Nothobranchius furzeri: one gene and its partner. The protein of the gene in region 2 purifies or fractionates together with the protein of the main gene of each other region. This does not show direct contact. Links are inferred from orthologs where the notes say so. Each region holds a gene or a part of one and is shown on either strand. Other genes may lie near its edges.

Region 1 (15,635 bases), on a different chromosome or scaffold from region 2:
GGTGGAAACTGACCCTTTTTATTCATTACACCAAAAGAGAAAATACAAGTAATACAAGAAAGTACAAAAGAGAAAATGTAAGAAATGTCATGTATGTGATAAAACACATTTTTGATCTTGAATAAATGCTGAATTAGTTTAATCCAAGATTTAGAGTTGAATGCTTGTACAATCTTGGATGAATTAAATAATTAACCACGGTACCTCCAACATACCACTTTTTTGTATTCTTTTCTGTATGACTTGTTTTATTGTCGTACTTCATTTTTTTCATTCATCGTGTTTTGTCTTGTGTCATATTCAATGTTTATTTATACAAAAAGAAAGATAAATTAACTAGTTCAGCCGTAGTTTACTTGCAAGAGATGAACTGATTGTGTTTGAATTCATCACAAACTCAAATTTTCCTGTTTTTTATGGTAAAGCTTTTAGTATTACTTTTAAGAGGAGTGACCTATTATTAATTTTGTTCTATCTATGTTATTTTATTTATACTGAAAAAATGTTCACAAGCCCACTAAAATGTTCTCTTCCTCTGCTGAATTGAAGAAAATGGTTTCTTCAGAACACAGTGAAACATTTAACAGCTAAGTGGCATTCATTTATATTTTTTATATGACAAAAATAAGCAGTACTGATGCTGCTTTGAAAAAGCTGTTTCTAAAGTCATAACACCATAAAAATGCTGGGAAAGTCGCAATATGTTGCAATATGCTGACATCTTAGCGAAGTCCTGAAAAGGCAGCTTTAGTACGGAGACAATGGCTTAGAGGACCGGTTACTTTCCCGAATTCCCCAAAATTTCTATAGTAGAAACACTGCTTACTGTATATCAAAAAATCCTGTTTAGTTTACACTTCAAAGGAGGGTTTGGGTGCACAAAGGTCCTCACATCTACTTGTCGAGGTTTAAATTTCATTTTCCAGCAGGTTTACTGGAGGTTAAAGGTGCAGTGTGTAAGTGCAGTGTGTCACTCCTGTTTCGTCAGTTTTATGGCTGTAGCCAGTTGCGGATCATCATCACCAGAAGATTCTAGATGCCATAGTTAAAGTTAAAGTCCCATGGTTGTCCTCTGCATTTGACCCATCCCCATACGGAGCAGTGAGCTGCAGACACGGCTGCGCTTGGGAACTATTTGGTGGTTTAACCTTCCAATCCAACCCCTTAAAGCTGACTATCAAGCAGGGAGGCATTGGGTCCCATTTTTTTAAGAGGGACTGCACACCATCAGAAAATGTAATTACACCCCTAGTCAAGATTTGAAAAATGCTATGAAAGTGGGCGTTGCCAGGAGGCATGGTGTGGCATGGCCAAGTGTGGAGAATTTCCATTTTGGGAGGGAGGGGGAGTGGGAGGAGACTGTATCGATGACGTAAAATTGTACCAGCATCACAAATATAAAATGCAGTAGCCACAGTTCTGCCAAAGGGGGCAGCACTAAGACGTTTTTAGACCTAAATTCTAGATTTAATCAAGTTTACAAACTTGTCAAAAAATACACAGAAACAGAAAGACTGCATTGGTAAAGACCCAGTTATACAGTTTAGAAACAAAAAAAAAGTTATTTTGGGGTTTAGTTAGTCTTTAAAGTCTATGACCCGACTGGGATTCGAACCCCGATCTTCCAGTCCCAGGGGAGACACTGTATCACTAGGCCACTGAGCTGAGACAAGCAAAGACGAGTCAAACACAATAAGTTGATAAGTAGATAAACACATTGTCATATCTGGTGCTAGCACTATTGGGTATTTTACAGTTAGCTATTGCTTTGATCTACTCATTTCAGGAAGTAAAACACCACGATTGACTCATTATTCACTTAACACATAGATTTCACTGTGATGTCGAGTTGTTGGTAATTGAAAAAGTAGCTTGAGATATTTTTATAGCTGACTCTTTGCTTCAAATTCACCGTTAGCATTGTTAGCTCAACGCTAGTCTCAAGGCTTCTTTACCTGATATTAGACTAGAAAATAAAAGATGCATTGGCTTCTTAGGGGTACTTGAAATAACTTCTGGGTCACTTTAGTTACTGCTTTGATTCTTTGTACAACTCTCAACAATGCTTTTTGCTAGCTGTAGTCGAATTACAAACTACACTAGCTCGCAGGAGACACGGCAACCCCACACTCCCACAGACTTTTGAAAGGAGAAAACCTGACAACCCCAGCAGCCGGCTGAGAATGAAATATGTCTGAGTATAACCTTCCTTCCAACGTAATTGAGACATTAGACTGTTTTAGGATTATATCACTGTAAAATTCTTACGTTATCCTTACACACTGCACCTTTAAATCAAAAACATCTCATTCATGGTTAGACAAAGACATGTGGAATAGGCTAAAATCTATTTGTTCTCCTCTTTTTTCAATCTTGATTTGTAATGACACACAGCCACTGTTTTGAAGTAATAATGTTCCGGCCCACAGGACAGGCGGCTGATAACACCCGCTGAACTGTAACAGCAGATATCTTATCACAACTGCCTCAGCAGCTTGATGTCTTCCTGAGATTATTCTCCTGGTGATAAAATGTGGTCCTACACAACAAAACGATGAGTATATTCTTTGTTTTATTTAAGTATTTATTGTCAGAGTCCATAAAAATGTGAACATTTGTCTCACATTTCCACATCTAAACGCAGTTTATTACAAGAACGATCTGTCAGAAGATCCTAAATGAGTTTGTATTTTACAAAAACACAAAAAGAGCGTGTTGTTGATTAGGCTACAAAAAAATCTTTAAAATTTGCATTTTAAAGGTGCAATACTGGTAAAAGTACTAGGACTGAGCATCATTTCTTTGAAACTTTCAAAGTCGCCTGTTGCACCAAATAGACTGACCTTCATCGTCTCTCACATGCCATAACCTCAACATCTCATGGTTATTTCAAATCAGGCAATTTCTCTTTTGCAGCCAAACATTTTCAAGAGCCTAAAAAGCAAGCTGCAGAAATCAGTTCAGTCATTAGAGATTTGTTTAAGATCTGGAGGCCTCCTGGAGAAGACCAACGCTTCAACAACAACAGCAACAAGCGAACCACTGCAGCGTCTACAATCAGAATAAAATATAAAAATTGCTGTTGTGGTGTTGTATGGCTGATGAAAGCAGGTATGAATTAAGCTTTATACTGCAGATAGGAGGAGATCTGATGCAGCAGCGATGCTGTCGGCTCTGATTTTAGAAAAATCATACTAATGCCACATGTAGCCGACGGCTCTTTTGCAACACAACTACTTTTATACCTGCCGGGTGTTTTAGAAAAAGGTGCCGAATCCATTCAATCGAGGGAAGAGTCGAGCGGATCGTTTCTTTTTGGAGTCTGCCTCCTTTAGCCACAGCTTCTTTCTCTTGGAGTCCATGTGACCTTCAAAGTAAAACAAAAAGAAAGCATTTAAGAATGTTTATAAGCTGTGATTAAATGTTTTTCTTTTTATTCCTTTTACTGTGGCCTAAATTATTATGTGAGTGCTAAAATAAATCTAATTTGTAATCATAACTTGTATTTCTGCTAGCTCTATCTCTTTATCAGGATTAGTACATTATTTTGTCTGCTGCTCTCTGGTGGATGATGGCACTGCAAGTGGTAAGTACCAATTTTTATTATTAGTAGTAGTATTATTGTAGTATTGTTATTATTTTATATGATATGAAATTATGTATTGAGTTCAGTCCTGTTAGTTATTGTTTTAATGCCATTTTCAGGATACAGTACATGTATTTTTTGTCCTAATTAGAAGCAAACTTGTGTAAAAAAGGTACAAAAATAAAAATACTTATGTCAGTAAGTAAATCTTAATGCATACGCATGATTTACTAAACATGGTACAGAAAAGGTATCAGATGGTTTTCAGGTACATTTTTAAACTAATCCAGTCTTTTATTTATTTATTTATTTATTTACTTATTTATCTTTGTAGCTGCAGCAGGAAAAGAAAATAAGAGTAACTCACTTATTTACATTCTGCTTGTTGACTAGAAGCAGGAAGGTTTGCTGCATGAGTGAACTTGAGATTTGACTTTTTGATTTTGCACACAATCAATGTATGTCTGAGCTGGTTGCAGGCTGTGAGGCTGTTTTGATTTTGTTGTTTTGCTCTAGCTGATTAGTTAGATTAACGTTCATAATGAACATTCATACAGAATGCAACCCTCTCAGAATTCTAATTGTGTGATTTTTTGTTTAACTTTGCGCCTCTTTGCTGTGATTGAAAGTGAAAAAACTGAACTTTATTCAGAATTTTCTAATAAAATGGTAGTTATTTATGCAAATCTTTGAATACAAAGTCATTTTTTAACATATGCATGGTTGGAATTAAGCTATTTTATTACCAGAAGATCCAGATGATAAAGGATCAAGTTTGCAACAATTATTGATAAATCTGTAACCCGCTTACACGCGTTTGTGACTAATTAATGACACGTTAGTAAAGATAATCCGATTTTGGGCTTAAACTCAGGTTTACAGGAATAAAACTTGTAAATTAAGCTCTCTGAGGAGACATTTTCGAGCTGTTTGTGCATCTGAGTGAGAGAATTACGCTCTTTTGTTCGCATCTCAGCAGGAACTATGCTCGGTGAAATTAAAGGTTGCCTCCTTAACTAACGAAGCCGCCATTATGAAGCATTCAGCGACTGTGTTGCAGATAATTGCTCAGCTTTTGTGCCTGACTTCCTGACCCCGTAGAGGAAAACAGGGGGCGGACTCTGACCTCTCGGTCGTTACGGCGACGTAGAACAGAGCTGCCTAATGAACATGTCTGTCCTCTGTGTTTACATCTGCCAATCAAACACGCAACTCTTCGTCGTTTGTGCTTTGTGGGGCCATCAGACACAAAAGCCGACAATTAGCTGCGCTCATTAAGACTCTTTAAAGGAGAGCTCAGTGTGTTGGTAATTAATCAGGCCTGCACTGGCAGATTGGCGGACCTCTCGTCAGTCCCTGGCTCTGTGGGCCGTGCTCCTCCTCTTCCTCTGAGGGGTTCTGGGCAGAGTTCCTCAGGTAGCGCTGGTGCAGGCCGAAGCCAGGAAGCGCGTTCTGTCTGAGGCGACGAAACTCCTCCTCAAAGGGATCCTGAGGTGCGAGGTCTGTGGGCGTGAGCGGAGAAGGAATAAATCACACTTAAACTCATCCTGTTTGGATGGAATGCCCGAGGTGCTCAACATGAAGTCGTTTTTTTTTTTACATTTTCTCCTCAGATATGTGTATTATAGAAAAAAAGGGAAAACATATTGCTTTGTGATGCCCTTGGCAGTGTGCGTACGAGCAGACAGGAGAAAATAGATACACACATCTATTACAAGTTGAGCAAGAGTCCAAAAGGTATATTGATGTACCCCAAAAGAAATAACATCTAAAACAAGTCTCTATGGAAACGCACACCCCAGCTGTATATTCCATTCATATTTCATCTGCCTGACTTTATTGTGATTAGTCATGTAAATAAAATGAGATTTGCTTATTCTTTTCTCGAGGTAATTTACATTTATATTGAATTAGTGGCAGGCAGGGAACGGGGTGGATGGGTGGGGGTTATTATGCTGGGAGATTACAGGCAGATCTCATCGTCATTGTGTTGTGTAATTAAGGCAGCGGAGAGGAGACGTGAAGGAGGCCAGATGCTCGTCCTGCTGAAACCGGTCTAGTTTAGGAGGATCTGCACCCCTCTAAGGTTTAAGATAGTCCAGTTTTAAACAGAGAACGCATCTTTGAGGCGTTTTCACCACAGTAAAATAAGGGTGTGTTTTGGTCACTACCTTAAAGACCAAGTTCACTTGTTTTTTCAACACATTTGCAGCAGTCTCTGGTGTAAAAAGACACCTTGTGAGTCTTACTCATTATTATTTCCTGATATTCTGACACCTTGCCTCTGATTGGCTAACAGCAATGCAACTCTACCACTGACTCTGTTTGCTCTGCAACGTTTATGTTTTATCTCCACAAATAACACAAGTCTGAAGGAGTGACTGATGCTAACGGTTAGCATCTACTAGCTGAGACACACTCTGCTCTCTCCTGGCTGCAAAAATTAACCACCTTCCCCGACACGAGCCAAGGTGGATGAGTCCATGAATGCTAATTTACAGCGAGATGCAGATCCATGTGGCTTTTTTTTAACCTGGGCACTTCCCCATTTATTTTCTATTGACGGTTGATGCAGGGAACAGGTATACAAGACTATTTTCACGTTCAGCCTGCATGTGAAATTCAGAGCTGATCATATTTAAAAAATGACAGGTAAAAAATGGTTTCTCATTGAACTTGGTCTTAAAATGTGTCTCCAACAGTTGGAAAGCTAGCTTAGTCCATCCCATTACACTCACCCTGAGGACAATTTAGAATCTCCAATCAAGCTAACATGCATGTTATTGGTCTGTGGGCAGAAAGTGGATAAAACACACGCATGCATGATAAGAACGCTAACTCCATGCAGAAAGGCTGCTGTGGAAATCAAACTTGCAACCGTCTCACTACAACCCAACAAGTGCTACAGACTGCAGCTCAACATCTAACTTCCCGATCCAAATAGTCTCATTGCTTCAGAAAATATGTCTTATTATTTTTGGCAGGTGACAATTCTAACAATTTCTCTGCAGTCAAAAAGTGTATGTGTCTATGGCTGTGTATTAGCAAAGGAAGAATGAGGCCACTCCCTCTAGTGGTGGCTAAAAGGGTACAGTAACAAAAACTTTTACATTAAATTGTTATTAAAATGTATCAAAACATCAAAGATATTTTTGTGTATAGCAGAAATATTGTATAAGTAGTCCTACAGAAGATTTACAAAATTGCATTGCTACTTGCTACATCACATGAATAAAAATAAACGAGTTAAATTTTTCTTTCACTGTTGGAATTCAAATTGTATGATTAACAGGTGTCACCATCTGGTTTTTTTTTGCACCACACTCAGGACGTCAGTGCGAAAACACGTTAGTTGCACATAACTGACATGATCTAATATTGTCTGACAAAAAAATCCTTTAAACTGTCAGGCATAGTTACCAGCTTGCGTCTCCTCTAAACTTGCAAAAATGTTGCCATTAAAGAAATTCGTTGAAAACCACAAACCTGAAACTATTGAGATTTGGACTTTTTTGAAAATGGCGAACCTCCACAAAATATATATAAAATCTGATTTATATACCCAATAATTATAACTGTATGTATTGCATTTTGATTAATCAAAGGTGGACGGTGTCTTCGCTGGGAGGCCCAGTGGGGTGGCCATGCCCCCCCCCCCCCCCCCCCATCTGGCCACCCCTTGGGGGCACCACTGCTTAACTGTGGTTTATTAAAGTAGTCCAGCTGGGATAAATGCTGCATCTTGCTACCTGCAGCTACGTCACTTTTAAGCATTCAATCATACAAACAAAGCATCTGTTATAGCCACAATAACAGTGAAACTGCAAACATGAACATATGACAGTTACCTAATAAGGAAAGTTTGGAATATTTTTAGATGTTTTCCGATGTTTCAGAATAATTCACAAGTATATCCTTAATAATTTTCTGACAATATCTGATCAGTTTGGTCAGTTTATTATATTTTTCTGAGCAGAGTGACTATCTAAATGTCTCAGTACGAGATAGTGCAAAACACCAGTCACTGTTTTCTACGTCCAAATGTCTTTTGTTGTCCGTGAATTCAAATGGTGTTTTTCTTTTTGGGACTCTGGCTGTTTGTCCTAAAGTTGAAGTGGTAGCCGCCGTCTGTTTCTCCTACTCTGATAGTATTGAGTGGAGAACCTCTCACACCAGAGGTGTTCCGTTGCTAAATTTGTGAGATTGTAATGAGTGGAGGACCCAGGGAAGCGTGGAAGTGCAGCAGTTCAGCGAGACCGACAACCAGATGATCCATTAGTAGATTTTCGTCCGAATTGCGTTTGAGCTTTTGAGACAAATGCCAGAAAACCACCTTAATATTGCTGGAAGAATATGTAGTTTTCAACATTAATGCTACTGAAAAATTGGCCACCGACGTTCCTCTATTGTGTGGAATGTCTATACCTAACGTTGATGCCAGAACTTGTGGCTATGGACATCAGAGAGGTGGCTTGAAAAGAGTTTTGATTAGATCATGTGGAGTAAAACCGCCTTCTGTTGTACCTGGGATTTTCATATTTTCAGGATTTGTTTTATTTCTAACTTTTAACCGTAAAACATTTGGTGATTTGGGTTCATATTTTGAGCGGACAGACAACATTTCTACCAAACTGAAACGATTCCTTCAGGTGGAGCTCAAGAGTTTTGAGGGACAACGGCCTGAGCCAAGGCTCTAACTGAGACAAAGGCGTTGCTGGATTTAAATTCCATTTGAATGGGCATCTTATTAACACAGGTCATCCATTTTGACCCAAGTCCAATTTCTTTGTCACAAAGACTGTTCCATTGTGTTGAGGCTGAAACTGGCTGAGCAGTTTACACAGAATGTTCTTCTTTTATGGTCAAACTTGGTGGTGATTTATCCCTTTTTGGCCTTGCACTTGAACTGATTTATTTCAGAGTTTAAAAACCAAACTGTTACATTGAGTGTAGTTTGAATGGGAAAAACAACACGGTGCTGACTGTACAGACACCAGATCTCAGTGAACAGGATAAGTGGTGGCTTGGCTCTCAAGGCACCGCAAGAAGGGGGTTGGAAAAGAAATCTCATTCCAGCTTGCATTTGTTTTGTGATCCCATCAGGTGAAGGTAGATAGCCGGATTAGGCCAAAACACTTGTGACTTCAAGGTTGTGCGCTCCATTCCAGCCTCTTTTACCCCAGAGGATCAATATTTGCATCTACTTAGAGTCCAGTTACCCAGGTAATAAGACTCCATCTGCCACTGGGTTGCATAATCCAACAACATTTAATTAATTTAAACAAAGACCATATCAAAGAGCTGTGATGATAATGAGGGCTTTTAACTTTCATAAAGCTGGCCTATTTTTTCTGGATCAAGGAGAGAGCCGAGAGAACATGTCGGAGCAACTCGATGCTTTCATTTGCTGCTATTGTCTTGAGAGTGGCTGTCATTTGTCTCCAGGCTTAAACAATGTAGCGTGTTTGAAACACAATGTCTAGACTTAAATAAAGCACCAAGACGCACCTAAACTCACAAAGACACCAAATCTATATGTGATGGACAAATGCAGCCTGGCGCGCAGCAGGATGGAGTTTTACTTGTCGACTAAAGGAGCCTGAAATAAATCACTGCTCAAAAGGGGCTAACCCTACATGACAGCTACAACCAGATTAAATTCAACAGCCCACCTTCCAAAGGTTCAAGACATCTGGTGTCATGCTGATGGGACCTCTCTATTGAGCACAGACAGATAGAGTCCGTGTTCAGACATGGGTAAAAAGAAGCTGGCAGCCTATCTTAGCCATCATTCATAAAGTGGCCAGTGGCTCAAGGCCCTGGTTTCGTACTAAGCTGTCTAGTTTCGTATGTGTGTGTGAGAGGAGGGTGCATATCAGACGTGTGGAAAAAAAAAGTTAAAAGATTGTATTAAATCTATGTATAATTCATATCTTGTATAAAAAATACATTTTATAAATGTTTTTAATGCTGTATTTGAAAAACTTTATTTTAAAAATATAAATGTGTATGTATATGATTCCAACAAGGCTCCAGATCTCGTGGTTGCTCGCAAAAAACGTAATTTTCCCTTTGTATGTTTACGACGCAGAGGTTGCGCAGTCTTTTGAGTTCCAACGGCGCCATCTCGTGGCCACATGACTGTACAACCCTGATTCAAATAGTCTGGGGGGGAATAATCACTTTTATTTTTATTACACACGTCAGGGTATTTATTTTCAACTAACGCCGTTTTAGTTTTCTAGGTTTACTAATCGTATCAAGTAAAATACTAATATTTACCAGTTTTACTTGGAATTAATGTCGGAAAAACTAGTCTTGAGACCTTGCTTCAGAATAATAGTGGTTTTAGGTTTCTAACGTTTTGGGGGTTGTTTTCACACTGAGAGTTTAAACATAAGAACAGTAGACATGTAAACATCTCGGCATACATTTAAACCTTGCTTAGTAATAGTTTTCAGAGGAAGAGCTGAAGTTGGAGCCAAATTTTTAACACCATCCGTCTCTTCAGCACCCAAATCGTTCGTGCTTATAGTAAATTTGTAGAATCACCTATCTTTTTTTAAATTTGGCTGTGTTTTGGAAGAAATTTGTAAGTCAAAACTGTACAGTAAAAAAATGTCATTGAACTAAATGATGGTAGGTTAACACTGAAACAACCCTAAATGCCCACTAGAGGGGGCTGTAGTCCAATAAATACATGAACACATGTCGGTTCAAACGTTTTACCATTTTTTAACTCTTCGTAATAAAAATAACCTAATTTTTTCATTTGGTGGGGAAAAAAAACTAAAACCACTTTAAATAGCAAGTCACCCCCAAATCAGCTTTTTTTTGCTGATAAACTAAATAAACGAGTGTCTAATCGTGCTGCAGACACATGTAATCAATAATTTGGCACATCAGTGCATCTTAGTTAAAATTTAATTTTTCTGCCTAAAACTGGCAGTGTTGCGCCGTCATCAGGTAAAAACTCTGCACTGTATTTGAATTTAAATCTGCCACCGCTATTGGCTAAGAGGTATGCTACGGTGTAAACTGGTACATTATGATGTCACAATGCCGTTGTGAGCCTATGTGTGTGTGTATTTGTTAGTGGCTCCGCCCTCTCGGTCTGCCAGGCAACAGCATTTGTTGCATTTTTCAAACATGAAGTGGGAGTGGAGTAAGTTTCTTGTAGGGGGTGACTTGCTCTTTAAGCGCAACATGCATAAACTAGCACAAAAACTGCGAGAAAACACGTTTACAAGCTAGGTTAGGAAAAGTTGACTGGACGCTTAGCAACAGGACAGCGCATGCGTATAACGCTGCTTCACTCTACACCACTGATAAAAGTTAGGATGAAGAGCTGCCATGTTCTCTAAAATAATATCATTTCAGACTAAATTAAGTCATAGAAAAGTAACCATTTGTTCCTGCTCGGAACCCTGAAGCGTTTGAGTTATTTTCTTTTTCCTGATTCTTCAGTTTCCTTGACATGCCTCACAAGAACACGCACTGGGGCTTGTGTAAATAGACTAGCCTTGGGCACATTCCATAAGAAACACTCATTTCTGTGTTCCTGGGCCAGCTGCAGCCACCACCCTATCCAATCTTGGATCAAAATCTGCCGTTTAAACGCAAATCACATAACTGCACATTTCCAGGCTGCACATGAGCCACACTCTGCAGAATCTCTGCAGTTTGGGTTCATTTTAAGGACAAACTTACATAACCCTATAGAAAAGTGCAGCAGGGAGGGGCGACTATGGAGCCAGGAGTGGGTGCTGTTCCATTTCCAACTGGTTTGAAAAGGTAAAACACTCCTATTGTACAGAAAGATCAGCGGGTTTAAACGCTTCACTAATACCGTTCATCTTTTCAAGGAACAATGAACAAGATTTTAGTGAGGAAAGACACGCAGCATAATCACTGTACAGCAGTATCAGTGACCAAGCCCTGATGTGAGTCACTGAAGCATTAGTCAGTTAAATGATGCACAAGGTGAAGTGCATGATGAACTGGTGAGCGTACAGGAAAAAGCAGCAAAACGTGATTTTTCTTTATTGCCGTTGTGTGAAGCTGATTTAATCGGTGATGATGCACAAGCAGGAAACACACATTCATGAGTGGCACGACCATATGACACCGCAATCAGAGTAAAAACTACAGACACCAGGTGATGGAAGCAGTGTTTTCATTAAGTTTCACAAATTCAACTTTATTGACCAAATTTTAATCTTCAAAGAACAAAAACAAAGTCCCGCATCTGTGTCTGCTAAAAGGTGTTAATGTTGAGATTCACAGGTTGAGCTGCAGAAGCAATAAACACAGCCTCCTCCAGTCATGCAGAAACAAACCAATCACACGGTGACATTTCCAGACTAAAAGAAAAATGCACGGTGTTATAATTCATTTATTAATGAATAATTATTACACTCGCATGGATAATAGCAAACAGGTTAGCGGAGTGAAGCGGATGTTAAAAACACCAAGGTGAGGTGGTTAAAGTTCTCATCCACTTGTTAAACTGCTCAAATGAAATAGCAAAAACCACATGCTTTTAGGTCTAATGTACACATTTGTTTTCCTGCCACAACACGACAATATACACACCCTAAGTTAAAGGAAAATATACAGCATGTGTGTGCTTATGGCAGAGAAGTACAATATATTTATATTAAAAAAAAAATCCCAACACACTGGTCCCCCATCCCTCCTCCCTGAAATAATGGAATAAATAAAAATTTACAAACACAGAGAAGACGTCCCTCACCTCCCTGGCAGCTAAGCTAACATGAGGGAATTCTTCTTTGGGAATGAGATGCATGACGACAGAGAGAGGAGAGACTGACTGCCAGAGTTTATCCAGAGGAGAAAACCTTTTGTTCATTTGTTATCCAGTCTTAGTAGCTGCTCCTTACCATTAACTGTTAGAGATTTTAACTGACCATCTTCCACCACTTCTACCCGCTCCTGGCCGTTCTCCACAGTCCTGATCGCACACAAGGAAAAAAAAAAGTTTGTTTAAAAGAGAGAGATGAGTAGAATATGAATGGGGTCAGTTTCAACAACCAGATACCGTTTTGTGGTTATTTTTCTGCCGTTGATAATCTTGGTGGAGGTTGAAACGGACTTAAAGTTCCCCATTCCTCCTCCTCTACCTCCTCCTCCAAATCCACCACCAAATGAAGAAGAAGAGAAGGAGGTAAATCCTCCTCCACCACCCATGTCTCCAAACGAGGCAAAACCTTAAAAAGTGAAAAGGAATGGTTAATAAATGGTGTCATACTTGCTCTTCAGGGGATTTTTCAGCCTGTTCGAAGCACATTTCTGTGTAAAAGTTATTCTACTTGTTCAGCCTCAGCAGTATAAAAGTTTTAAAATTATTAAAACGAAGAATTTGGCGATTGTCGTTTCAAAATGATGTAAACACCAACTGGTGGTCCTTCAGCAACAGACCTCTCAACACACTCATTAGTTTCACTCCTGAAGTCCTGGAAAAAGGAGCCCTCAATTCCAGCTTAACAGCCAATCACATTTGGCTGCTAGGGAGAACTTGAGAATTTTTGGCCAATCAACACCATGCCTCTGAAGCACTGGTCAATAGGGCTCCTGTTACAGGAAACAGCTAGCTAGCATGCTAGAAGGTGCTGGAACTCTTTATTTCTAATAAATGCATATTGTGTTTTTGCCACCTACTGGTGGAAAATGAGTATTGCGCTGTGAGCTGATCAATTAAAGCGCACAGGCTGCTGGAGACTAAAATCTCCAGCTGGAAAACCAACAAAACACCACAAAATGTGAATGACAACAGACATGGACTGCAGTTGATGTTAAATGTGGGGTAGAAAGGCCTTCAAGGTAGGTTTGTGTCTTTATTTGAGGAGTCTAATTTGTAAATTTGACTATGAAAATGCTGATTTGGGTAAGGGAAATAAGGAAATTGTGGTCATTTTCCAACTGTTTTCATTTTCCAGCTCCACCAAGCACCTTGTTTCACCAACTGCCAATGAAGTAATTACTTCTGCTACTTTAACTTTATTAATCACAATGTATCCACTCAGAGAAGCACACACCTGAATCAAACCCTGAGAAGCCAGACCCAAAGGCTGGAAAGCCACCGAACCCAAACATCGGCCCTCTGCTCGGGTTGGCAGCTCTTGGACGACTGCAACTTCCTCCAAAGAAATCGTCGAAGGGGTCATCATCTGCAAAAGGTAAACACAGTCACATGACAGGTTCTGGTCTATACTCAGTACCTCATCTAATGGTTTCACTTTTATTGTTTAAAAAAAAAATCTTTCCTGGAAAAAAATGTCCCTACGAAATCATCCATGTGCTGTGCACAGACCTTCCTCCCAAAGCCCGGAGGAGCTGCTACTAATTGTGCTTCACCAATCTGGGTCACCCTGGCAGGATAAGGCTGGATCATCGGCACCATTTCCTGAAAGAAGACTCCTCCTTCAACCTTGAACGCATCAGGACTACAGTTGAAAAGCTTTACTTGTTCCATCCTGACGGAACGCTTAAAATAAAAGTCTCCCCTGTGTGCCGTCGCTGCGGTGTTACCGCGTGTTTACCGAGAAGGCGACACCTTTAGAGCTTTTAGATGTCATGCATCAGTTAAAGGGAGAGGACAGGAATGTTGTTCCAACGCGGGAATTCTGCTTCAGCTCCCAAGCGAGTGATGATTAAACAATGCAGGAAGTAAAGTTAGGTGCTTCTGCAGATGTGTCTGACACAAACTCCTAAAAGTCCAAACCCAAATAAAGGAGCAGATGATTTCTGGAGTGGGTCCAACAGTCAGCTGCTTTATTTTTTCACACGTTCATTTGAGGCGGAGGGTCTGCTGTTCTTGGAAGCCGACTTGGCCGTCATGGCTGTGTGATTCTGCATTTGTCTCAAGAGTACACACACACACACACACACACACACACACACACACACACACACACACACACACACACACACACACACACACACACACACACACACACACACACACACACACACACACACACACACACACACACACACACACACACACACACACACACACACACACACACACACACACACACACACACACACACACACACACTGATTTGGCTGAGTGACTGATCCTCAGGACCAGCTGCTGGTCAGGGTTTTAAAAACTCATCAAAAACCACTTCAACAACAATCTGGAACGCTCCTAAAGAACCCAAGTAAGGTGAGCACGTCCAGCTGGTCAAACATGTTAAAGATCAGTATTTATAGTCACCATTTACTACAAAATAAAATGTTTCTACACTTGACTTACTGAAACAAGCCCGAGAGCGTGATTCACATCGGATCTCACATGCACACGCACACGTGCGCATGCTCTGCGCCATTGCATTTGCTTTGTTTTAATGTGGAAGCTATTTTTGAATGCATTCCAGTTGAGTGATGCGAATGCTCAAATCCATCCTTCTCCTGCGTCTGAACTCCTTATTTAGAGGTGAGCTACACATGCATCCCAATCAGCCTGCTCCTTAACCCGGTCAGAAACCCACAGGTTCTACTCAATAACATCGACCAATCAGCAGTTACACAGGCTAGAACTAATGAAACGTGTAGTTTTGGCTTTTAGGGAAGCTTTCGTGTGTAGTCAAGTGATAAAAATGAGCTTTAAAGTGTTTCCAGGCCACCGGGTGTGTATTTTTGACCAGCTTGATAATAATAGCCTCTCCCTCTCTCCTCCTGTCTGAAAACAACAGACCCCATTACTGCCTTGGAGGGCGCGGACGGGAATACGACAGACTTACTAAAAAAATTTGCAAATGGATCTCTGCCTCCAAAGAATTCCCTGAAAACATCCTCTGGATTACGGAATGTGAAGCCGCCGCCGCCGAAGTGATTGTAGTGGCCTCCTGTAAACGACAGGACAATAAAGTTTTAACGACACAGAAAACGTTACATCCACACAACTATGACATCATCACCATCAGCAGTAGGTTAAACTTTACATTAATAACATCTGCTTCTAAATTAATGCCACAAATAAATAAACAATTTTTATTTTTACTGTTTATTAGTTTCATAA
Region 2 (16,495 bases):
CACGTGTAGTCTTTTGTAAAATATTTTATTTAGTAGTAAAACCTTTCTACTGGTGCTGTGCTTTACTTCTTATTCAGAATGTGGCAAAACAGGTTTTTCTGGTAACTCGTGCCAAAACCACAACTTCCATAAAGAATTTGTCAAACCCTTTAGTTACCTGTGAGTCTGCTGATATTGTTTTAGTTTGTCAACAAAATGATGGCTTAGTAACGCCAGAATTGTCAAAGATTTTTTTTTTTCCTTTTTTATGCTCCTATTAGTTTCAAAGAAAGAAAGAAGGCCTGATAACACCTGCACGTAAGAGGGAAGTATGGCGGGCTGCAGCTGTGCAACATCTCAGCCCAGTCTGAGCTACTGACAAGTACTTGGATCCAAAAATACCACCTGGGGTCACTGTGCAAAAGAGGTTCCCCTCTACCTCTTTAGTTTATTTTCCAAATAGATAAATTTCTTTTTGTGCAACTGTTAAAATAAATCTTAGATTTGAACGGTTAAAGAAAACTTCACAAAGATTCTTTCCTCTTTTATTTAGACATCACATGCCGACAGACTGTACTTTTAACATATGCAAAAATAGATGAACAAAACGTAGAGGAAGCCACATGCTGTCTAGCATTTGTGTAGTGCAGCAGAGTTCATGAGATGGAAAAAAAGGGAAGTGCACGTGTGTTTAGTACAAAGATTACAGCAGAGAAAACACATTAAAAACAGAAACTATATTTTTATATGCATCTGTGGATTTCTTAAGTGTTTAATTTAGTCATTAAAAAGAGCTCTTAAAATGAATGACCTCTTCTCAGACTTTGTGAACCAATAAGAGGCTTAAATCTTTACATATATAATATTGTGCTTTTTAAATAGAAAATTGCTGTATTCTATTACACAAAACAAATTACATTTTCACTTTGTCTTCAGCTTCAGAAAATGCCACCAAGTATAACTAGACTATTGCCATTAGTCTTTATTCTTTCTTTTTCTTTCTTTCTTTCTTTTTTTTTGGTTAACAGACTCAAAAAATAAACATTCATCACATTTCAAACAAATCAAATCACACTTTACAAATTGCTTGGGAAAATTGGTTCTAGTGATGTAAGCGGCTGGCTGACATAGGTAACAATCTATTTAAATGTATAAGGTGGGATGTATGATGCTCAAAGCCTAATGAATAGAAAGACGGGTGATTTATTGACTTGTCTTTTTTGAGCTTTCAGTTTTATCTTTATCTCGAGCTTCGAGCTTTTTCTGGTTCCTGCAAAAAATAAAATAAAATAAAATCACAACAAATGATCACATTATGATACACAAGCTGAACTTGGTCTCTTTCTGTGTTATATCTGTGTTGGACAGAAAGTGTGTTATTTCTGTTCATGTGGTGTGAATACTGACCCATGGGAGTGTTCAGGACCCATTAGGGCGGCCTGAAAGCCTGAACGGGATGGAGGTTGTCTCAGGCAAGACGTGGGGTGTGATGGCTGAAATCTGGACAACTCCTGCTGCCACTCATCATCAAACGACTGAGCTTCAGCTGAAGGGGAAAGCTCAGGTTAGGTGGGGTGGTGGAAGACCCTACAGCAGGACAAAAGTGTGATGCAAGTGGAATGCTTTAACATACATTCATCCATATTCTGAAAGTCCTGGCTGAGCTCTTTCTCTCCTGTTTTCTTGTTGTATTTCTTCTCAACAATGTGTCCTTTGTCCTTGATGTGATGTCCAATTCTCATCTTCTGCAGACCACTTTCAGAGTCCTTCACTGCTCGGTGGGTCTCTTTGATCTGGGAAAAACCAGTGTGAGTCAGTCTTCACAAATAATTTCACTTTTGAGGGTTTAAAACATCAAAATGTACTCTTTCAGGAGACTTACCCCTCCAGGGGCACGACGAGTTGATGAGACTGCCTGGAAGACCTTCGGAGGCTCGCTACCGACTTTTGAATACGTCATTACTGATGAGGAGCTGAAGGAGTGGGAGTTTGAATCTGTGGACATGTTCTCCTGAAAAAATCACACACACACACAAACATGCCAGCATTTATTATGAACAGCAGTTGAACAATCCAGGCTGTTTATTTGACTAAACTTACAAAGTTCCTGTGCATCTCCTCCATCCTGTTTCTCACGTTGACCATCATGTTGTCCAACATGCCAAAATGATTGTGCATGCCCTGTAAAAACAAAACACAGCAATATCAGTCAAAGCAACAAGAGCTGGAAGGCTGAACACATGCATGAACGTTGTAAACAACTCCATCATGTGTGCACATATACATGACCGGTGTAGAGTGTTAAACATTCGCTGTAAGCAGAACATTGATCTTTCAGCACCTTAAGAAATATGTTTTGGTGACGTCTAAGTTAGTCATGCATGCTAACATTAACTATTACACATTTAGCATTCCTTCTAAAGAAAACAAGAACAAAGTCATGCATTGAAGACAAACCATCGTTTCTTCATAAATAGATTTATAGAAAATGTTTTAAATGAGCTATTTTAATCCTAAATGAGCAAAAAACTCCCACTCTCACATTAATGATCTTTTCTGCTGACACAAGTAACTCAGCCTCAGTTAAGGTGAGAATAAAGTTTGGTTTACACAGTATTTGATCTGTTCTTAGACACATACGTATCATTTGAGAGGGGTCTCTTTGACCAGTGATACGCTGGCTGGCTGCCAAAGACGGAATCCATCGTCTCTGACCCCCACAATCCTTCTGGCTCTCACTCCGCTTTTGATTGTTTAACTTTAAACCCTAAGCAGTGTGTAATAAGTCTCAGGGTGTAAGTGGATGCCAACCTCTCGATGATTCCTTAGATAAACTCAGTGGTGAGCTCTTGTTTTTATCAGTTACGCCGCCTGACCCGTCTAATACCGATCCTGAAGTGGAGGCACTTGGAATCAGTCATCCATGCCTCCATTACCTCTCGTTTGGACTATGCAAACACACTACTTGTAGGTACTCCTGTCTCTGCCCTGAACCGGCTACAGGTCACCCAAAACGCTGCTGCTAGGTTTTTAACGAACAAGCCGGCGTAGTCATATCACCCCAGTCCTGCCATGTCTTCACTGGCTCCTCGTCACTTTTTGTGTACGTTTTAAGAAATTGATGTTTGTTCTTAAAGCTTTACATGACCTAGCACCTCCCTATTTGTCCAACCTTCTCACCCCCTAAGTACCTATGCGCAAATTGAGGTAAGCTGATGTCCTGCTTCTCTGCACTCCCCGGGTGTACTACAAATCACGGGGTGAACACGCGTTTGCCCATGCTGCCCCCACGCTCTGGAACTCACTGCCTGTTAGAGCTAGGCAGGCACTCTCTCGGCCTGCTTTTAGTCTCGTTTAAAGACTCACTTTTATGGCTTGGCATTCAGACTGTTACTGTTGTGTTTTGTCTACTGTTCTTATTGTTTTTATCTGCTATTGATGCCTTGTTTAGATCCTTATTGCTCTCTTTTTTTATTGATCCTGCCTGTACAGCACTTTGGTCAGCTCTCACGCTGTAGTTTAAATTATGCTATAGAAATAAAGTTGGTATGCTATGGATAACTGACGAGTCAGAGATGAAGGAACAGATGTACTTTCAGAGTTAGAGCATGCACTTTGCCAGTAAAGAGGTTTCGTTTTCCACTGACCGTGCTGTCAGTGCTGCCAAAGGGTAACAATGACCGGCTCATATCCTGGAGATTAAAACATCAGTTTAGATGCATAGAAGACTTTAAAAAACTGTTGCACGCAATTTATTTAACAATGTGGGTCATACTGAGTTTGGGGTTCTGAGATGATCTTCAAAACTACATTAGATAACACTTTCTATTAGTAGTGGAAATGGCTAAAGGTAAAATAATACAAGCTGAAGGTGTCTGTTTATTTAGCTTTTATAAAATATCTTTATTCAAAGTCTTTTGTAATTGTGTGCGTCAGAAGTTAAAATAGCCTAGAAACCACTGGTCTAGAGTCTAGTGATAGACTGGTGACATGTCCAGGACATTCTCCATCTCTCACCTAATGGTTGCTGGAACCTGAGCCCCAAGGACCAAAAAAAGGATGAAGCGGGTTTAGAAAACAGCTGGTTGTCTAAAATATGTTTTTAAACATTCCTAAAACAACAATTTTCAAGATGACCATAAAACCAAGTGACTATTACAGCATAAACATCACCAAAAAGCTGTGTAACACTGATGTTTCTCATTAGCATTTATTTTTGACATTTCTAAAAGAACATCATATGTCATCTACATATTTCTCAGCGTAGCTGATTTTCTTTTCCATTAATCACCAAGTTGCCAACATATCTACTACAAACAGCTCTACACATGGTCTTCTACAGACTTTCAAAGCAACTAACTTACTGGAGTTGCAGCCACCAACAAATGAGTAAGATGGGTGCAGCTTGCAGCCCTCAAGTCACTATCTATGTACTGTGGGCCAAGTCCACAGGTGTTTGTGACCCCTGTTGCCCCAGATAAGCATCCCAACTGCCATCACTATGTGAGTGAGGGTATTTTCTCAGGCTGTGATGTGCAGAGTTATTGTGTGTAATCAGTGGGGTGTTGAATGACTTGTGTTCCATGTGTAATTGGGTCACATTGCCAGAGATTAGAGGGGGTTTCACACCATAACTGAGCTTCATTCTAGGAAGGTTACAGCAGGCAGGGTGGACCAGTCAGGACAGAGACCCAGTAGGGGGTCAGAGAGTCCAAGGCTGCTCTCTCAGCTCTTTTCAAAGGTCAAGCTGAAGTAAAACGCTCCTGAACTGCCAGCTTTATCCCACAGTGGTATCTATGATCTAATAAATGCCAGTTACATATCTGTGAGCATTATATTTAGACTGAGCATGAGAAGGGGAGAGACAGAGCAAAGTAAGGAAAACAGACACACTCATCAACACATTATAGGCATGTTTTGTGATCTCTTGACTGCTGAAACTGACGTGCACTTAGTATGGGGCAGAGGTCGCAGGTCTGTTATCCATCACTTGTGAGACATTTTACAACCACATAATTAAAAAAAATCTTTTAATATAACTACCCTAAATTATATTACAACATGTTTAGCTAATATCAAAAATTTACATTTTTAAAGATTAATTTTTTTGTAAATGATCACATTCCATTTTTATTGATAGAAGTTCTGACAGCTTGTTTGGACGTGGGGCTGTGCTGCTACCCAACAGTACTTTTGTAAACAAGTGCCACGATGAATGAAGACTAAGAAACGTAACATGACCCTGTTAGTGGAGATTGGCAGGAGCTAGAGAAATGTGAGCACTCAGAGGCCGATGATGGTAGACAGCACTTTTCCCTCCACTGGGAATCTCATGGTATGCTTGTAGAAGGAACATAACTGTCCATTAAGAGTGTGTGTGTGTGTGTGTGTGCTTCTCTGTGTACATGCATGCCGTTGCATAAATATTGCAAAGTGAAACTGCGTGTCCCTGTATCTGCAAACGAGTTAATGCCGTATTGTGTGTGTGTGTGTGTGCATTTGCATCTGTGATACTGGAGGACAGCTTGAGAGCGAGCTGTCTGTCATCTAGCTGCTAATGTGCCAGTGATGCCAAGTTCTGTGAAGCAGATGGACGAAAAGAGCAACAATGAGAAAACAGAGAAGCCGTGACATCTGAACATGAAGTACATGCCGTTACAACAGCCCCAGCTTTTCCACCACTGTGGGTTTGAACTTCTTATCTTCTGAGACGCGTGTGTGTGTGTGTGTGTGTGTGTGTGTGTGTGTGTGTGTGTGTGTGAGAGTGTTTGTGTGTGTGTTATAGATATTAATTTAGTTATTGGACTTGTTTTTTTCTCTTTTATAACACATTCTTTTGACATCTACTCATTTGTTTGGAAAACAAATCTGTTTTTCCACTTGTCAAAAAAGGCCAAGAGATTTTAAAAGTTAATTTTCTTAGCTGGATCATTTGAAGTGTATTAGTCTCTATTGACGAGGTTATATGTGTAGCACTCAAAGTAAGTCCAGCTGCTTGCAGCACGGTGCTATTAAAAAGAAAGCACACGGTACGTGATCAAGGCCATGCTTCTGAAGTAAGCCATTATCAAGGATAAATACAGCCTCCCGTGACAGACTTGGATTAAAGCAAGTGACTGTGACTAACTTTGACCGAGTATCAATATAACTTGGAAGGGAGTAGAAGATTAGTAAAAAGTTCATGATTAATGCTCTCAGCTCCTCTTCTTATGATACAAACAAGCAGATTTTACAACATGATGACTCTGTGTTAGCATCTCATCTGGATCCAAATGAAAATCATTTTAAATATTTCTTGAAATGCTCTTCACATACTGATGGCAAGTTACCAAATAAATTGAAAGTTTTTTTTTTAAATTGACTAATTTGTCGCCTCTGAAACAAACAAGCCTGAGAAAATTTCACATCAATCACTGTGAACATCTCGTTCTTAATAATTTGGGTCATGGCCCATTCATCTGAGCATAGTTTGCTTTGAACGGCAAGAAAAACAACTCTCTTTAAAGAGTCATTCTGACAGCTTCTTTAAAGAGCAAGTCACCCCCAAATCAACTTTATTTTGCTGATAAACTATATAAATGTGTGTCTAATCGTGCTGTAAACACATGCAGTCAATCATTTGGCGCTTTAGCGCATCTTAATTAAAATTTAAACATTCTGCCTAACACTGTCAGTGTTCTCTTCAGGTAAAAACTCAGCACTGCATTTGAATTTAAATCTGCCATTGCTATTGGCTAAGAGGCACACTATGACATTAAGCTGGTACATTAGGATGTCACAATGTCGTTGTGAGCTTGTGTGTGTTTGTGTGTGTGTGTATTTGTTAGTGGCTCCACCCTCTCGGCCTGCTAGGCAACAGCATTTGTTACATTTTTCAAACAGGAAGTGGGAGTGGAGTAACACGCTGGTAGGGGGTGATTTGTTCTTTAAAGAGCAAGTCACCCCCAAACCAACATTTTCTTGCTGATAAACGACATGAACGAGTGTCTAATCGTGCTGCAGACACGTGTAGTCAATAATTTGGAACTTCAGTGCATTTTAGTTGAATTTTAAATATTCTGCCTAAAACTGTCAGTGTTGCGCCCGTCAGGTAAAAACTCTGCACTGTATTTGAATTTAAATCTGCCACCGCTATTGGCTAAGAGGTATTCTATGATGTAAACTGGTACCTTATGATGTCACAATGCCACTGTAAGCCTGTGTGTGTGTGTGTATTTGTTAGCAGCTCCGCCCTCTCGGTCTGCCAGGCAACAGTATTTGTTGCATTTTTTAAACATTAAGTGGGAGTGAAGTAAGTCTCTTGTACTACCAGAGTATTACTCCACTCCCTGTTTGAAAAATGTAACAAATGCTGTTGCCTAGCAGACCGAGAGGGCAGAGCCGCTAACAAATACACACACACACAGGCTCACAATGACATTGTGACATCACCATAGTACCCGCTAATGTTCTAGGGTACTGCTTAGCCAATAGCAATGGCAGATTTAAATTCAAATGCAATGCAGAGTTTTTACCTGACACTGACAGTTTTAGGCAGAAAATAAAAATTTTAACTAAAACGCACTAAAGTGCAAAACTATTGACTACACGTGTCTGCAGCATGATTGGACATGCATTTATATAGTTTATCAGAAAAAAAAGTTGATTTGGGGTGACTTGCTCTTTAAAGTGCAAGTCACCCCCTACCAGTCTTCCAGAATATTTTAATTTTAACAAAAATGCACTTAAGTGCCAAATTATTGACTGCACGTGTTTACAGCATGATTTGACACTCAATTATATAATTTATCAGCAAAAAAAGTTGATTTGGGGGTGACTTGCTCTTTAAATCTGTTATTGGCTAAGAGGTACACCATGACATTAGCTGGTACATTATGATGTCACAATGTCGTGGTGAGTATCAGTGTATTTGTTAGCAGCTCCACCGTCTCAGTCTGCCAGGCAACAGCATTTGTTGCATTTTTGAAACAGGAAGTAGGAGTGGATTTACCCCCAAATTCCACTACCTCCACTCCGCTCCGACACGAACGCCGGAGCAAAATCGGTCCCGTTGTAGTCAATCAGAGCAATTCCACTAATGCGGCCGTGCTCCGGCAGTGTGGCGCCGCGCGCCGCCCTCTGTTCCGGCGTCCAGCAAAAATAGGATTGATTCTATTTTTGCCGGACGCCGGAGCACCTCCGCAGTAAATGGACAGAAATCACAACCGCACAACAGGAAAAGGAGCAAGCACATCTTCCGTTTTTCACAATAAATCGATAAACAAAAGGCGTTTTTTGTTTCATATGCACAGGTTTAACAACTTTTAACAATTATCAATGGTGGCTGAAGTTTAAATGCACAAAAGTAAGCCATAAATACAGTTTCTACTATCAAAGTAGTCACACTTTGTTGATCCAAACATTGCTGATCTGTCAACACAAATGATGGGCAGATTAAACAGTTCATGCCGATGCTTCTCCCACACAACGGGTGTTTGGATAACTTCCGCGTTTATTGCTCGGACTGTATCGCAAGATCTCGAAAATCCCGCGCATGCTTGTTTGCCCACCTCAGGTCTCCGCACCGGAGCGGAGCCGTTGTAGAGCAGGTACCAGTAAAAATTGAGTTCTGAAGCGAGCGGCTGCGGAAGGCGGGGGCGGACCCGAGCGGAGCGGAGGTAGTGGAATTTGGGGGTAAGACTCTGGTAGGGAGTGACTTGCTCTTTAAAATATAAAGAAAAATCTCAGCAGCAGCTCATACCAGTAAAGCAGAATTCTCAGGGGACCTTCAAAGATGTTTGTGCATGTATTTACAAAAAAGTTGTGCGTTAGTGGAATAATGCACTAAAAATAGGTCTTCTAGGGCTGGATATAGCTGACAAGAGGCAAAGGGGGTTGCTCTTCCACTAAACCAGAGACCAACACGGCCCTGTACTTCTACAAGGTTCAGGTACACTATGGGGGATGCATCCTGCCTAAGAATTAGAGACTCGTCAAAACCCTGTCGTTTGTCATGGGTCCAAAATGTACGAATTATGTTCAGCCCCCCAAAAATGAGCACATTACACGTCTCAGACCCAAATGCCTGAAAGAAGAGTGCATTCTGAACTGGATGTACTCACCCTGTGTTCATTTCTCAGAGCAAGTGATGAACTGGGATGAACTCCCACGTCACGTCCATGGTTTCTCCCATCGGTTATACTGGGAAACGAGGATGCACCAAACGGTTCAGAGAAGCTACGCATCATCTGCCTCATTTGCTCTCTGTGAGCACGGAATTGATCTCTGTCAGAGAATATGAGAAGTGTAAAGAAAAAAAGGGAGAGATTTAAAAACAGTCACAAAAATGTCAGCCATCGGTCGATTAAAAAGAAACATGACTCGTCCCTTACACAAACTTGGAGCTCATGGGTGAATTCTTCAATGAACACACCAGACTGAAATAAGACGCACCCCAAAATAATTTTAGCCACCCCTACGCACACTTAGAAGTCGGGTTGAGTGTGGCCACACTAACTCATGGAGCTTGTCAAAGTTAATGTAGTTCGGTGTCTGTGTGAAGTTGTTTGAAATATAATTCAAATGTATATCTGTAAAATAACAAAACTGTTTTTCATCAACTATGTGGGGACACATAACTGCTAGCTTAAAATAATCTGCGTTGGTTCTCTACGCCTTCGTTTTGATAATTTAACCTGAAGCTAAATCATCTAAACAGGTGCTACTACTCACGAAAAGAACGGGTCCTCCTCAAAATCCCTCAGCATGCTGTTGAACATTTCCGCGGACTTTAAAACCACAAAAACAAACCGAACTGGGAAATTTACTAAGTAATTATCTGTACCGAGCTCTCCAGTCTCGCCTGACCGTTAGTAACGGAGGTGTCAAGCAGTTAGAGCCAAAGCGAACGGTGCTCATGTGACAGAAATCCGCCTCCCTCATTGGTTACTTTCGCAGGACTCTTTAAACAGGTTCTGTCCACGCGCTCCATGTTGTGAACGGCTACTGTGGCAACGACACTCGAGAACTTTCTTTCATTAAAAAAACGTTTATCTACTCTGTCAAAATAATAATAATAATAATAATAATAATAACAACAACAACAACAACAATAATAATTATTATTATTTTATTATTATTTTAAAAATCCCCATATTTTTGTAACTTTTCAGCTATGCCTATTTAATGTAAACTGTTAAGATTTTGAAACATAATTTATGTGGGATTTATTTAACTAAATCTAAACTAAACTAAACTAAACAAAATCTTAACGGCTAATTTTTGGTGCATATGAATCTGGGTAAACTAAATTCTGGAAAGATGTGCTGACAAAATTAATTGCAATTAAGTACTCAAGCAGCCATGTGTGCGTTTCATGCAGTAAATCATGTTTACAAGCTAAAATATTCAGTTTCAACACTGATCATTTGAAGAGAGTATTATATTCAGACTCATAGGTTTACCATCTGGTGAGCCCATGAATAGACGCCATAAATCGTGGCCAACAATCTTAGACCAAACCACTGACACAACACTCTGGAAAACACAATGTGGTTTGCATGCTTAACAGCAAAGTTGAAGACGTGTTAGGTCATATAATTTTTAATGTTTGTTTTGAAACAAACTAAAGGGAAATATTAAAAATTAAATAAACTTTCTAAAATTTTAGAGTAACATGTTATAGTGTACCAAAAGTAAGTAAGTATTTCTTCTAAATGACCAAAAGTTAACTTTTAACTTGCAGGCACAAACTGCATCACACATCCTGGGCCAGATCATAGCTATCTGGTCTCCAGATCAGACAAGCACTGCTCGATGACCTTGTTACTGAATAAGGGAGCCATAATAGTCCTTCCCCTAGCTCCCTTACCTTTGCTGGAACCCAAGACCTCATACAGAAGACGAGACTTTTACTCTCTGAATAAAGTTTATCTTTCCTGACATAAATGACTTTACAATTTTATAAGTGTCATATAATCATCTCTTGTTGAATGAAAAATTTGTTTAAATTCAAAGTGCATAAATAATGTCTACATTAATCAACGAGGGGTTAAAATGAATATTTTTCCTGTAATGATTCATTTCAGATCAACACCAGATTAGTAATTGTTGACTATATAATTTCATCTATCAGTATATTCACAATAATATAATATTATTATTAATGTTTAACATTTTCACTTCTCACTAAGAATTAACCTCTTAGTATCGGAGTGAAGGAGGGATCTTCTGAGGTATGTTGGTAATGGCCTTTAAACTTGTCAAATTCTGATTTGTCTAAAATTTGTCAACAATTAATGAATAGAAGGATCCAGAGGTGTGGACTCAAGTCAGACTTGAGTCATTATTTTAATGACTTACTTGACTTGATAAAATGTATAAAGACTTACGACTTGAATCGACTTGCATCTGTTGACTTGGGCATATTTGATATTTTAGCACAAAAGTGGCACACCATGGACAAAAATCATAAGTCATTCTTCGTTCTGGGTTTGATCTTGTTCTAAATGCAGCAGCACTTTGTTCATAATCAGTTTCGGCTGCACTTTCTGCTTGTTTGAGCAAAAAATGAAGCTTTAAAAAGCTTTTTTCTGGATTTTTTTTTTATTATCGTCATTAAATTGAAGTTGGACAGATGACTTGAATATCACTTGAAAATTCAAAGTTAAGGACTTGGCCTTCCACATCATTGACTTTGGACTCAACTTGGACTTGGTTGTCTTTGACTTGACTGGAAAGACTTGTGACTTACTTGTGACTTGCAAAGCAGTGACTTGGTCACACCTCTGAAAGGATCGCTTCCTGATCTGTTTAATTCTCCAGCGGTCTCCTGGTTCAACCGACAGGCGAGCAAGCATTTGGAACCATCCTCTCTTTTGACCCCAAGGTCAAAGCTTCTCTGCAACGCTTGCGAGTGATTTCAGACACTACAACCTCAGACGTGGAACGTCTAACCTGCAGACCCTGGTTGCATCTCATGGCCGGACTAGAAATCTGAATTCAAAGGGAACTACGGCTCTTTGAGATTCCTGTGGCCACGAGGTCCGGTAAATCACCACTCTGGCTGCCTTTCATCCAAACGGCTTAGAGCGACAGTCACACAAGTGTTCGTAGACTCTGCACGATTGTGTTGGTTTTATAAATAAACTGTAGCTTATTAAAGCATGCAGCCAAACTGATTTTACAACCCAGACATCACGAGATCTCTCTGATACTTACAAGGTCTTGCTACAACCATCTAGCTTACATTCCATTTCATTCATTATCTGTTATCTGTACAACCATCATTTCATTCATACTTTGTCATGTATAATCACTACTTTAGAAAAATAGAATTACATTTTTATAAAACTATATACTTGACTCTTGTCTGAATTAATATGAAATGTGTGTTGAATATTTAAAGAACTTAAAGTGATATTAATTCAAATATTTAAAGATCAATCAGATTCATATTTATATAGAATATCACATCTTATTGATCACTTAACAAATATGTAGTCAATCCTCACCACTACAAGGTAAATTTGTGGCAATATATCCGACACCAAATGTTTTTATTATAAAAACAGCAGCTTTAACAGACTATATTGAACATCAGGCATCAAATGTTACATCAACTCAGAAAAATAACACCTGACATTTACATTTTCATCATGAGAAGTTACAAAAGACAAATAAAGAACATTAGTTCATTTATTCATTAGCTTTAATAAAAAATAACAGGCAACACCAGGACACAAAAACTGCTCCACAGGTCCTGAGAGAAAGGAGTTTGAAAAAAGCTGCAATGATCTCGAAATAATTTAAAAGATGACTGAGAAGCAATGAAGACAAATAAGATGCAGCTCTGGACTGGAAAAAGAAAGATCTGCTCTCTAGGGAACAGGACTTCCCATCAGCCTCTCCTGTCGAAGGGAGATCAGTCTGTTCAGCCACAGCTCCTCAGCTGTTTCCTTTTCCATGAACAACTGCAGAAAAGCATAAAGAAGTCAAGTTGAAAAGCCTTGAAACAGAAGAAAACAGTGAAACAGTTTAGCTTTTTGTTTGACAGCATTTCATAGATGTTAGTATTAGATCCTAAGATGTGTATAAAAACAATTATAGAGTGATATCTCCAGTAAGATGAGCATAAGTTGCAAATGTAAACAAAAACAATTAAATCTGCTTCCAGGAATTGTTTTGAGGGGGAAAAAATAGTCTTTCGCACTTGATCTGACTCCTAAATGTGCCTAAAGCCTTGTGATCTGGCCACAACGACAGAATCTGTTGGTCACACAAATGCATTTATAATTATAACATGTTGTAACTAATTATAATGTACAATAAAAATGGTTTATTTTGAATCTTTGGGTCTGGCTCTAACACATCTCCCATTCTGACTAATAAAAGAGCTTTAAGTTCCTGGAGTAGAGTTGTTAGCGCTGCTCATTTAAAGCCACCTGAGTGTAGCTGCTGAGACAGTTATGATGCTCTAATACTACAGTAACAGGTGCATCTCTCATGTCTTTTCAGGCCGGTCTATTAGAAGCCATCCAGTCCTGTGACACTCGCTCCTAGACAAAGGCCTGCATGTGTTACTTATTCCCAGCGCTGTACATCATCGGTAGAGATGATACTGACTGTAAGAGGGTCGTGAAACTGCTGCTTCAAGTGTCTGATGAATGAAGGCATCTGTTTATTAGGAAGTAACACAACGACTGAGACGCAGGGCACTGGGACATTGGAAACAAATGTCAGATTATTCCTATATTCGCTGCAGGGGGAGGTATAATGTTGACATGCTGGTGATGTGTACATACTGTACATCTGTGGGATGATACAGATGTCTATTACTATGCAGATGGTGGAGCAACTCCAGACACGTCCATCCTTCATCTCCAGCCTACGCTACGTACAGCTACGCTTGCATGTAATCTGTGTGTTAGAATCAGTACCAGTGAGTTCTTGTCTGTCGGCCCTGAGCTGGTGTCATGGTGCTAACGAGGCAGTGTGTGTGGGATGACAGTATCTGAACCGGGCTAATGGGACTCATCTGTTCTAATTGGGAGTGGAGCTGGAGATGGTGCAGGGGCCGGGGCTCGCCTGGGGCATATTGCTACCATATATCAGCCTGTCTGACAGTGTATGTATGCATGTGTGTGTGTGTGTATCTGTGTGAGTGGGTTATCTGCATACATCAGGGTATAACTTAGTTTCCCCAGTGGAGATAGATGACTGGGAAGCCCCAGGGAGCGTTATTGGAGTTTAAAGTTTTCCTTCTCGTTTTTCATCATTGGCTTGCCGCTAGAGGAGGAGGCAGTGTTAGGAAACTATAAACTGGTATACTGCGGTGTGATATGATGCTCTGAATCAAAGTATGCAGGAAAGTGTTGATGCGTTAGAAGCAGTAGAGGCACTTTTAAATAAAAAGTCCACAATCGTAAAAACATGGTGGTAACTGAAATGACATGGAGAGAGATCAACATTGAAATTCTTGAAGTTTGAAAGTTTTTTTTAACCTCGTGAAACCCAAATTTGGTGTGATTCATAAAGAAAAAAACATTTCTAGCCAGTACAGATTAGTCGACTCTCATAAATGTGAAAAAAATTCATAAACATTTAATAAACAGTTTTGACAAATTTCCTCCCAGGAAAAGAAAGGAAAAAAAAGTTACACTTGAAGTAAATATCAAGTGTCTCAAAAATAACAATAAAAAAATATTGTGGCAAATTCCACGCCAAGGTGACGGGGAGAGCAGACTGCTAACAATTAGCACCCAGCAAGATCAAGGACATCGACTCCAGAGAGTCAAGGCAAGGCAGCTTCATTTATATGAGCACATTTCATACATAGAAGCAATTCAATGTGCTTTCCATTAGCAAGAACAGCAAGAACATTAAAGTCAACAAGACAGAAAATACAATTAAAAAATGATAAAGAAACAAAATGTGAGCAGTTACAGTGCAGAAGGTGCAGCATAAGAGCAGTCATTCAAAGGCTGATGAAAACATGAAGGTTTTCCATTTTGATTTTAAAGTTACTAGAGTTGGGGCAGATTTGAGGTCATGAGGAAGCTGATTCCATCTGTGTGCAGCATAGTAGCTAAAATCAGCCTCACCCTGTTTGGTTCTGACCCATTCTGACCTAAGGATCTCAGAGCCCTGCTGGGCATATGTACAGGAAGGAGATCTGACATGTATTCTGGCCCCATGCTATTGGGTGATTTATAAACTAGTAGAAGCACTTTGAAATCTGTTCTGCAGTTTACTAGTAACTAGTGTAGAGATTTAAGAACAGGAGTGATGGGCACGGTTCTGCTTTATTCTAACTACTTTGTTCAACATCCAAACGGTACCGCGGTCCCATTCCTCGGACTGGAACCCCTACTCATAGTGCCGAATAGACACAAACTAAAAATAGCAGAGTCAGAACACTGAGCAAAAGACTAAGGACACAATCCTGGCAATAATCTTAGCAAAACACACCGAAATGGAACAAAACTACTGACAACCCATTACCCACAATGCACCTCACTTACTGCCTGTTCCACAGTGGGCAGGGCCACTACAACATTATAGTGCAAAAAGTCAATGTCCACATATGTGAACACAGGAGCTTCGGAGGTTAGATGCCTATATGAAGCTGAAAGACAACTTGGGATGACTTGGGGTTTGATGGTGGGAACTTACACTGGGGTGAGCAAGCGTGTCATCGTCGTCGTAAATGATCGCCAAGGGGAAAGAGATGTCCTGAGAAGATGAAGTCAGTGACTCCTGCTTCACCTCAGCTGACCCAGTCTGTGTTCAAAACAACACAGTGGAAGGAAGAAGAAACAAAAATTTAATAAAAGTACCACGAAATCCAAATTGGAGTTAATGCTGAGGTAATACATGCAGTGCATACATTCAATATGATTACACGTCACCTAAGAAATGAAAAAGAAATGCAAAGCTCTACAGCTTATCATTATTTTTTATCTCATTCGTCAAAGAAAAAGGAGGTTAATATCAAAAGTAGCAAAAAAAATTTAATAAAAAGCTAAAACTTTGGAAACCTCTATAAAATAAATGTATTATATTATTGCATTTTGGCAAAAATGATAGATTTCTGTACATTGGTGGGAAAATATCGATAAAAAATTGGTGTTAAGATTAGGCACGCTGTTTGCAGCAGAGGCAACAATTTCTTTGAGCATTTTGATATTTGCCCAGCAGGTGGCAGAGAAGGACTAACATGTGCAGCCAACACCAGCCTAAAGAGACGCATTAAATCTCTCCTGATTAACTTTCGTGTATAATAACTTTTACTTTCCTCTCATTTCAGCTATCTTTAGTTTACTCTGTTGATCACTGTTAAAACCGAGCTTCGTCACACAGTAGCAGCAACTTTATGGCACTCATTTCCTTTTAGAGCTAATGGACTATTTGAAAGGAATTTAAATGAGGACAAAGCTGGCTGTCCCTCTAGTGTTGCCATATCTCCGGAGCTCGAGCTGATTAAAGAAAGGATTGTGTTTAAAATGAGTTGTCCTCCTCCTACTTTTTAGCTATAATA

Evidence for each region.
Region 1: the proteins of mlf1 (region 2) and dnajb6b purify together in Homo sapiens (affinity purification with mass spectrometry; 3 studies listed by BioGRID and IntAct, counting the BioPlex papers as one, with this or other methods). This does not show direct contact. The link is inferred for Nothobranchius furzeri from reciprocal best matches to the Homo sapiens genes MLF1 and DNAJB6.

What each region holds. Positions count from the first base shown.
Region 1 is NC_091747.1:47,484,432-47,500,066, forward strand, and holds the end of dnajb6b (dnaJ homolog subfamily B member 6b), read right to left. Parts: intron 15,463-15,635; coding exon 15,358-15,462; intron 13,777-15,357; coding exon 13,645-13,776; intron 12,817-13,644; coding exon 12,648-12,816; intron 12,561-12,647; coding exon 12,490-12,560; coding exon of another isoform or gene 12,455-12,489; exon of another isoform or gene 11,964-12,454; intron 5,089-11,963; coding exon 4,930-5,088; intron 3,368-4,929; coding exon 3,258-3,367; 3' UTR 2,564-3,257; downstream 1-2,563. UniProt on the Homo sapiens protein: Has a stimulatory effect on the ATPase activity of HSP70 in a dose-dependent and time-dependent manner and hence acts as a co-chaperone of HSP70. Plays an indispensable role in the organization of KRT8/KRT18 filaments.
Region 2 is NC_091753.1:40,111,492-40,127,986, forward strand, and holds mlf1 (myeloid leukemia factor 1), read right to left. Parts: upstream 9,868-16,495; 5' UTR 9,738-9,867; coding exon 9,691-9,737; intron 9,395-9,690; exon of another isoform or gene 9,368-9,394; coding exon of another isoform or gene 9,351-9,367; intron 9,244-9,350; coding exon 9,081-9,243; intron 3,672-9,080; coding exon 3,627-3,671; intron 2,161-3,626; coding exon 2,080-2,160; intron 1,991-2,079; coding exon 1,862-1,990; intron 1,773-1,861; coding exon 1,613-1,772; intron 1,526-1,612; coding exon 1,387-1,525; intron 1,250-1,386; coding exon 1,183-1,249; 3' UTR 511-1,182; downstream 1-510. Other genes in the region: rsrc1 (serine/Arginine-related protein 53), read right to left, coding at 12,837-12,929, 15,631-15,738. UniProt on the Homo sapiens protein: Involved in lineage commitment of primary hemopoietic progenitors by restricting erythroid formation and enhancing myeloid formation.